Linked DNA regions of Tribolium castaneum. Each later gene encodes a partner of the first gene's protein in a complex. Links are inferred from orthologs where the notes say so. Each region holds a gene or a part of one and is shown in the gene's direction. Other genes may lie near its edges.

Region 1 (4,565 bases):
ACACTTTAACACACGTTTTTTGTATTACAATTACTATTAGATTATTCAATTCTGAAAAATAGGTGGCTAGACAAAATATTAACCAAACCACTCGTCTGATTCAAAGATAAGATTTTGTTCTTAAAAACATGTTCCAAATTTTGAAAGTATTTGAACACCTTTTGAAACAATTTATGAAACATTGCCAAGCAGCATTTTGTGCACCCTTGAAAAAGCTGTCAAAAGTGTATGTTCTATTAGAAAAGACCTTTTTGTTTAGTTTAGTCCATACCATATCACCTCCTTAAATATCTTACATTATTATTTTAACACCTTGTACCGGGTGCTCAACAACAGCCGCACCAACTCAATGCTACGCGGTAGAGAAATGCTTTCATAAAAAGGTAAAAATATTTTTTTTTAATTGGTAAATAACAAACTTTAAAGAAATGATTGTGGCAACGTTGTCTAACAATCGAGATCGCAATAGATCCCGATCAACAATAAAAATGAATAACTTTTGAAGTGGTTTCATAGGAAATCCCAATGTTGGCACATCTACAAATTGTGATTTTTGGATAAATTTTATTTTTTTAAATCCAAGGAACTGCTAAAGTCAGATAGTAATTTTTAAAATAATTATTCATTACGTTGGGGAACGATTACTTAGTGTGAAACATAGAAACATTAAAAAATAATGAAAACTGAAGAAGTCAGTAAACTAAGTTTGTAGCTTCATATTTTTTTGAATATGACTAGGAATTTTTTCAAGATTTTTCATATGATCTACACATGCTTTCCAACATTTTACCAGTGAGCTGGTGCACCAGTTTTGGAGCAGCCTGTATATTTCTTGAAAGAGATAAAATTATGAAAAGAAAAACTGACTTTGTGGTTATAGATATTTCGCCAGTTGTCCAGTTACCGCTCGTAAAACGTCTAAAAACTAATAACCTGATAAAAATTTATTTCAAGGTCGACAATTATTTATGTTTCTAGTATACCTAAAGATACAAACCAAATTTTTTAAGACTATTTGCCATTTTCACCTTTAACATGTCATAATTTTGCAAATAAAAATTACTACTAGATAAAGCATAAAAAGTCCGATCGAAAAGATACAGAAGATGGTTTCATAAACTATAAAGCTGCATTCAAACTTAAATATCTATTTTCGCATTGGAGTAATAAGGTAAACATCACATCGAGATCCTATAAATATGACTAATAAATAACACACTTTGTACAACGGAAGACAAGCAATTTTGGCACGTCATCCAAAAATAAAATACAAATATATTGTCCAAAAATATTTACGAAGTGCATTCGAAGCAGGTGTTACAACAGACTATAAACAAAACTTTTCAAGAATGTTTCCAATTGTGAATTCAGCCACTCCTTCAGCAGGAAAAACTAATTATTTCCCAATAATTATAAGTGGTTCGAATTTATGATCATTTGCGCCAATAAAACTCCAGGACCGTATCGACACATTTTCAAATAATCAATTCCGGTTAATTAGGTCGCGAATTTAGAACGTCGAAAAAACGCAATCATCCGCAATACCTTTCGGTTACCTCCCCAATTACCCGAAAATTACATAATTAGGAACATAACACTTTTCAACTCCTCGCTAAATCGCCCATCGTCCCTCATCGGCTCCGCTTCGGCAAACTCCGGCACTGATATTAAAATGGAGTCTAGTTTACAAGCACAACGATTTGTAGTCGTTCAGACGGTGCGTTGCAAAGTGAAGTCTCTTTTTCGGCCGTTTTTCAGCGGAACCTAAGGGAAAAGTGGCCCTCAAAGGGCATCAAACGAAAGCTGAAGCCACGCCGGACACGTTGAAGGTAAATTTTTTGACATTTATGTAATCTGTGAGGAGTTTTCGCCCAAAACGATAGCCAACGTCGATCTCCGCAGTGGCATACATGTTTGTTCCGGTGTGCGCGTGCGCAGTGCCGATTTTTTGCGGGAACTTGGGGTGCCGGGCTTTTTCGAAATTTTCGTAAATTTAGAAGGGCCACCGCTGAGGTGAACTTCGGAGAGGGTTATTTAGTCGGGAGTTTGCTCAGTGGGAAGGTTCCTAATTGAACACTGCTTTCGCGGGTTTGTTATCAAATTGCGGGAATCCGGACGTTTATTATACGCTCCGGCCGGAATTTAACGTCACATTTTTAGTTTAATTAATTTAATCGATGGTAATTAATTATCTGATTTATTTGAGGTGTTGTGTATTATACCGATTACGATAAGAATAATTTATTGCAGTTATTGGTGCATTTAGATTGGTCATAAATATTTAATGTGTTGACGGATTAAATTAGAAATAGTCAAATCCTTGATCTTAGACAACTGTAACCGAAGTGCGACCGAAAAATCAGAATACACGCAACGGCTTGTACAAGAATACAGAGTATTTATAAAATGTCTATCATCAAGTCACCTAAGTCGAATTTAATCGCTATCTTCTGTCAATATACTTACATTACACCCAGATATTTGTAATTAATTTGTAATTTGGCTGTTTGACAAAAATGCATGTTTGCATGAATAATGGCAGTTTTGTTGTTACTTTTTTTGTAATAAGAATCTTTTATCGTTGATATTGCGTGTGGGTTATTTATTTTTACATATTTCATTGATAAAAAATCCAGGCATATAATATATGATTACTTCGTTGCCAACACGTTAGATCTTGTTACAACTGACATTTTGCATATTGAAAATATAGCCAAGCTTCAAACCGTGCCGAAACCAAGAAATAGTTGAGTATATACGGGGTGAGTCTGCTAAAAGTATGTTTCACTATTCTCAGAAACTAATGGTCGCACCGCATTCAGTATTCACTGTTAAATACATAGTGACGGTTTATAGAAGCGTCAATAATCTAATTCGCAATTAAATGCGTGATCAACTGATCACGTGAACAAATGATTGGTCTATTCACGTTGTTAACTTTTAACAACGAATTAAAATTTAAGGGAGCTTTCTATAAACCGGCCTATTAAGTTTTTTGCTATGTATGTGAAATTTTTCCAAATTTTTTTACTCTTCTTTACAAGGTGATTCAAAAGTGTCGGACAAACTCTCGTATGGTGATAAAAGACATTCAATTAAGGACAAAAATGAAGTTAAATATTTTTTCTAAGAAGTCATTTTTTTATATATTTTTTAATTTGTTTTCTTTAGCAGGTGTATCGATTTTTGCTCTTTTGTTTCCTATGATGTCGAATTTTATTTATTAGCGAATTTGCGAGTTTTTTAATTGTTTTGTACATCATATGACATTAATTTTTGATTTTTTTGTCGTTTACGCAAAACGTCAAAAAACATGTAATCTGAATCACCAAAAACTTAACTGAAAAATTCTACTTTGAGTAGTTATAGCTCGTGGAAAAAGGCTAAAACAATTTTTGTCATAGGAATTTTTAATTCTCTTTGATGTCCTTTATCCGCACCCGAGAGATTGTCCGGTAATTTTGAATTACCGTTAAGTTAATTTATTAAATTTGTATTAATATAATGAAATTAAAAAAATGGGGTTGGTTTATGGAATCGTCATTATTTTAATCCACAATTAAATGCGTGATTAACTGATCACATGACCAAATTAAAGCAATTTGGTTGGTCCATTCGCGTTGTTAACTTTTAACAAGGCAGTTAACTTTAATTGAGCTTTCTATAAACCTGGTAAATGCGCCCAAAGAATTATATTTTAATAAAGCTTTCTATAAACCGACCCTTAGTGTTATTCTAAAACAACGATGTCTAAATGTTTTCGAGCAAAAATTCTTATAAAATAAATTTTGGTAGCCCTAAAATTACGTTTATTTAAATTTTGAATTTATAACTTTATTTATTATTTTTGGGGCTAGCGACATTTTTTATGGATTTTTATCACAGGACAACATTTAAGTATTGCTTGTTTTCAGATGACACAAAAAATAACAGTTAATAATAATTAATAATTCATAAATTTTAGGACCGGTTTATAGAAGCGTCATTAATTTCACTGATTAACAGATCACGTGACCAAATTGAACCAATGTGATTAGTCTATTCGCCTGTGATTAGTTTATTCGCGTTGTTAAGTTTTAACAACGAATTAGAAATTAATGAAGTTTTCTATAAACCGGCCTATAATTGCTTAAGGAATTGTAGAAAAATTCTGAAAAAAATAAATTAAATTAAGTTTTCAGTTGATTTTAAGAGATAATAATTAAATTGCTTGCAAGTGGTTGAAATAAATGAAATATTACGATAGATTTTTTTTGGGTAAAATATTTATACATGGTGTTGGTAAAAACAACGGTGTAACCCTTCGCTTACTGCAAAATTACAAAAAAATGTAAAATGGCCATTTTTTTCTAACTAATTTGTCTTTACAGCTAGAACTTAAGTAATAATATTGTCTTATTAGGAAGAAGGTTTTAAATAATTGCAAAAGACGAAATACCTACTAGACAACATTTAAAAAAAACTAAGAAGAATCTTTGCCTTGAAACACCTTTACCTTTACATTTCCTTATAAGTTAATTAATTTAGTTAAATTTAAATTAACTTGAATCGTTGCATAAAAGTTG
Region 2 (4,528 bases), on another chromosome or scaffold:
AAAAATTTGTGTAATTGAATAGACAATTTTTACATTTTTATAAAATGAGTGTATTTACCTCATTTTTAAAAAGAAATCGGAAAAAAATTGACAAAAAGATAAATAATAATCTATAAGTAGGTATTCAGGTTGTATGATGATTGAACGTGCTTATAATTATTGTAACATTATCCACTTGCCTATCGTCTGCTAAAACTTCATGCAGACGTTAGTTTGAGTGACTTAGATAAAAGACTTAAGCCTAATTTATCTTGATGACTTAAATGCTTGTTATCTACTTGTTAATAAAACAATGACATCAGTAAATCGTTTTACAATGTGAGTACAATTAAGTACACACATAAATGATATGAATAGGGTACAAAGTTTTAATTTAAGTCACTTGACTTTTTTTATTGATAGCTGGTGTATCTAAATACAAAAAGTAGTTATAAACATTTGGATAGGACAAGTTGTAGTTATTCTAACGTTTGTTTTCTTTGTTTGTTTGTTGTTATTTTGTATTTCGTATTATTTTAAACTTTTAACTAGAAAAAACTTATACATTTACGGATCAATATTGTGGATCAATGATTCTTTTAGACCAGAATTAAATTAAAATTGCAAGGACTAACAATTAAAAAAATTAATGTGTTTTTCAAAATATCTTTGCAAATGTACATACTATAACTTTTTATTTTGAATTTGCCTCATTAATTGTGGCCAAAAGCCAAAAGATAAAAACATCTCCAAAAGTACATAGTTAAATAATAAATAAGCACGAAAAAACATCGGCAAAGATACTATGAGTTAGTTATGATAAATGTTTTTTTTAAATGACTGTTGTAATTTAATCTGATGAATAATTTTACTTATGGTTTCATAAAATTTAAACCTATTGTAAGATTGCTCAAGTTGGTGGCTTATATGTTGCTAAGGCGATAACATCAGTACTTATACGTGCTGATGTTTAAATTTCACAATCCATAAGGCAAACAATATAAGTATGTCAGTGATTTAAGTAACTTAATGTAATAAACAACTTACTTTTATCATTTTATCGGTGACTTTATAGTTCGTTTCTAAGAAAGATGAAATCAAGGTGAGTATTCAGTTTCACATAATGGATTATTTGAAACGATTTGAAGTACTATTCAAATTCATGGTAAAACTTAATTAAATTAGTTAATAAAGTATAAAAGTTTTTTTTTCATAATCTAAACTAAATACATAGAGTTATTCACTTAAGACTTCACGCCTGATTAGGTAAAAAGTGCAGCACACAATGCACTAGGAGTAGCATGGGTGTAATTGATACAACTAAACATAATTATTTTTTGAATAAGAGCTATCTCCTATGAATAAGAGTAAGCGGCGTATAATTTAAAAAGTAAATGATTTTTTTTGCATTCTAAAAACATTTTTTTTAATTAGGCAACCAAATTTACCTCCAACAAATATTTTTTTTCTATGGTTGGCGGCAGTTTCTTTTTCAATTTCATTTCCAAACGCTAAGTTAGGTTATAATTTTCATTTTTACTTCTGCAAAGTATTGAAAATGGAAAATGAAACGAAAGAAAATGCAAATGCACACGACGATTCAATACTTAAAAAAGGTCGCCATCGAAAAAAGCAACTCTACAATTCCATTTTGCAGCAAATGGAATTTTATTTTAGCGACTCTAACCTCACCAAAGATAGATTTCTATCTCAATTAATAAAGGAGAATCCTTGTAAGTGACTATATGATTATTTTATGAGTAGTTGTAGGTAAATACCAAGCACTTTTTTCAGTTGTCGACCTGAACGTATTTTTGAAATTTAACAAAATTACTAAACTCACAACCAGCATAGATGATATCCAAAAAGCTGTACAAAAGTCGCAGTTAATCGAATTATCAGAAGATCGTAGTAGAATTCGTCGTACAAAACCGGTTAAAGAAAAGGCTAACGTTGATGATTGTACGATTTATGTAGAACGCCTAAAATCCGATGCAACTCATGAATGGTTGAACTCTGTTTTTTCTGAATTTGGAAATGTGGTCTACGTTTCTATACCAAAATACAAAAACAATAGTGCCATAAAGGGTTTTGCTTTTGTCGAATTCGAGAAAGAAAAGGAAGCGCAAAATGCTTTAAATTACTTTGAAAGCATTGGCTGCAAAATGCCGTCAAATACAGAACCAGAAACTCTTTGTAGTATTAAAACATTTGAAGAAAGTAATGAACAATCTGAGGCTTCCTCTAAAAATTCTACACTGAAGCCAAAATCTGGAGAAGACGAAAAGGCAACAAAAAAGCGAAAACTTGAAGACAATAGTGAGAATAGCGAAAAACTAGATAGTGAACACTGTGAGAGTAAAGCGGAGGAAAAAATAAGAAAACGAAAACTTGAAGAAAGTGAATCCGGCGAAAGTGAAGAAAAAGGGAAAAAAATGAAAGTCGATGATAGTAAGCACACTGAAGAAAATGATGAACACAGTGAAAGTGACGAAAAAGAAAAAAATTCAAAACATGATACTGGAGACGTTTCTGAGTCGGACGATGCCGAAAATAAGAAAAAGAAGAAATTGAAAAAAGAACACAAAAAGAAAAATTACATAAAAGAATTGGGCCTCCAAGTGTTATCAAAGTAAGTGAAGCAGCTAGAATTATCTTTAATCATTGATAAATAATTGTTTTTTAGAAAAGAGTGGAAAAAGATGCGAAATCGGTATCTAGATTTACAAAAGAAGAAAATGAAAGAGTTTAAAAAACACCTTCTAAAAGCCAAGTTTAATCAACCAAATTATGAACAAAAGTCGAAAACTCCCACTGCTAAGACTGAACTCAACAAAGAGGATTTTACCAAGGGACTTATTGTAAAAATAAAGCTAACCGAAGCTACCCTGGATATAAAGAAACTTAAGGTAAATTTTCTAAACTAAATATCTTGGCCAATTTATTTGCGATAAATCGTTTTTCAGAATGAAATTAAAACTTCTTCAGCTGATATATTGTACGTAGATATTCCAAACCCTGGCAGTGAGAACATTTATGTAAGATTTAACACCACGGAGGGCGCTAAAAATTTTTGCTCCCAAGAATCTTTTGGCAAAAAAGAGGTATTAACAGGACAGGAAGAATCTTCATATTGGGAAAAAATTAAAACAGATCGTGAGGATAAACTAAACAAAGCAAAAAAGAAACAACGTGGTAGAGACAAACTGTTAAAGAAAGCAAAACATACAAAATTTGATGATTAAGGTTTTGTTTTCAGTTTAAATTTTTTTTAAATATTCTTTATTTATTAACTTTGTCAAACAGTGGCACCATCCATTTCGTGTTGTTTGCTGACATATTCACACAAAAATTTGAAATAACCTGTAGTTCTTATTTTTCATAGATCTATTTTCGTAATAAAAATTTCATACACTTAATGGAACAATTGCCAACCACAAAAAACATTGGTCACAATTTCAAGTCTACCACCTCTTGCCGCCGCCGCCCCCTCCTCGGCCGCCGCCAAATCCACCCCCACGACCACCTCTAAAACCGCCGCCGCCCCCACGACCCCCACGTCCACCGAAATTGCCGCCTCCTCTTCCTCCAAACCCGCCGCGATTGCCGCCCCCTCTGCCACCACCGCGGCCTCCGCCACCCCCACGACCTCCCCCTCGACCGCCTCGTTTCTGGACTGAGCCTGGGGGCTTCGGTAGGAATCTTTGAAGTGGTAACAACTTCGCAGGATCAATAAACAACTGCAAAACATTATTTTAGATGTGTGAATGGTAAGTGAATTTTTTTATACCTTTTGATTCTTTTTAAAACTGCTAGCTTTTATGTCGTCTCCGAGACGTATCGAAACGTAATAATCTCTGAGATTTCCAAAAATTTCATCAATTTTTCCGATTTGTTCCTTATTTTCGAGGTAAATCGGCGCATTGAAAAATGGAACGTCTTCTATTTCTACTTTAGCAACTAAATCATCTTGTACGGTGTAATCGAAGTAGCCCAAAGGAATCACTCTCTCAGGAGGGCCTTGATCATAGTTTCGCCCGCCGCCCCCGCGACCACCAAAACTATTTCTCCCGCCGCCTCCACCAAAATTTCGAGCGCCGCCGCCCCCACGACCACGACCTCCAAAGCCGCCACCACCGCCGCCTCGGCCACGAAAAGACATTTTGTTTCACTCCTCAAATAATTAGAAACGTAAAAGAGCGTCCCTTTGTAAACACGTGGTTTACACTAAATTTTCAGTGCGGCAACATAACCTCTCCTGCAAACGTAACCTCCAACTGTAAACACTCCTAAACTTTGGGCCCTCTAGGAGTTTTCTGAGTTACCATCAAAACAGAAAACTGTAAAGTTAGAAGATGAAGCTATAACTTCAAACCACATGTGTATAATTAGTTGCATACTTTGAGGGAAAAAAACATTTTATTTTTAAATTAACCTTGAACAAAATATTGCTACGCCCCACACTTCCCATTGGTTTCCTTTCTTGTTGAAATAACCATTTAAAGCTGATTCTAGCAACAGTGCATAATTATTAATTATTTGACTTCGT

The links.
Region 2: 7SK snRNA methylphosphate capping enzyme bin3 (region 1) and Larp7 share a complex: the UniProt entries of both Homo sapiens proteins name them as parts of the 7SK RNP complex. The link is inferred for Tribolium castaneum from reciprocal best matches to the Homo sapiens genes MEPCE and LARP7.

Annotation. Positions count from the first base shown.
Region 1 is NC_087395.1:19,351,022-19,355,586, reverse strand, and holds the start of 7SK snRNA methylphosphate capping enzyme bin3, read left to right. Parts: upstream 1-1,674; 5' UTR 1,675-1,829; intron 1,830-4,565. UniProt on the Homo sapiens protein: S-adenosyl-L-methionine-dependent methyltransferase that adds a methylphosphate cap at the 5'-end of 7SK snRNA (7SK RNA), leading to stabilize it.
Region 2 is NC_087394.1:30,501,739-30,506,266, reverse strand, and holds the start of Larp7 (la-related protein 7), read left to right. Parts: upstream 1-1,456; 5' UTR 1,457-1,537; coding exon 1,538-1,712; intron 1,713-1,773; coding exon 1,774-2,611; intron 2,612-2,665; coding exon 2,666-2,888; intron 2,889-2,945; coding exon 2,946-3,224; 3' UTR 3,225-3,443; coding exon of another isoform or gene 3,444-3,719; 3' UTR 3,720-3,769; coding exon of another isoform or gene 3,770-4,141; 3' UTR 4,142-4,528. Other genes in the region: Gar1 (H/ACA ribonucleoprotein complex subunit 1), read right to left, coding at 3,444-3,719, 3,770-4,141. UniProt on the Homo sapiens protein: RNA-binding protein that specifically binds distinct small nuclear RNA (snRNAs) and regulates their processing and function.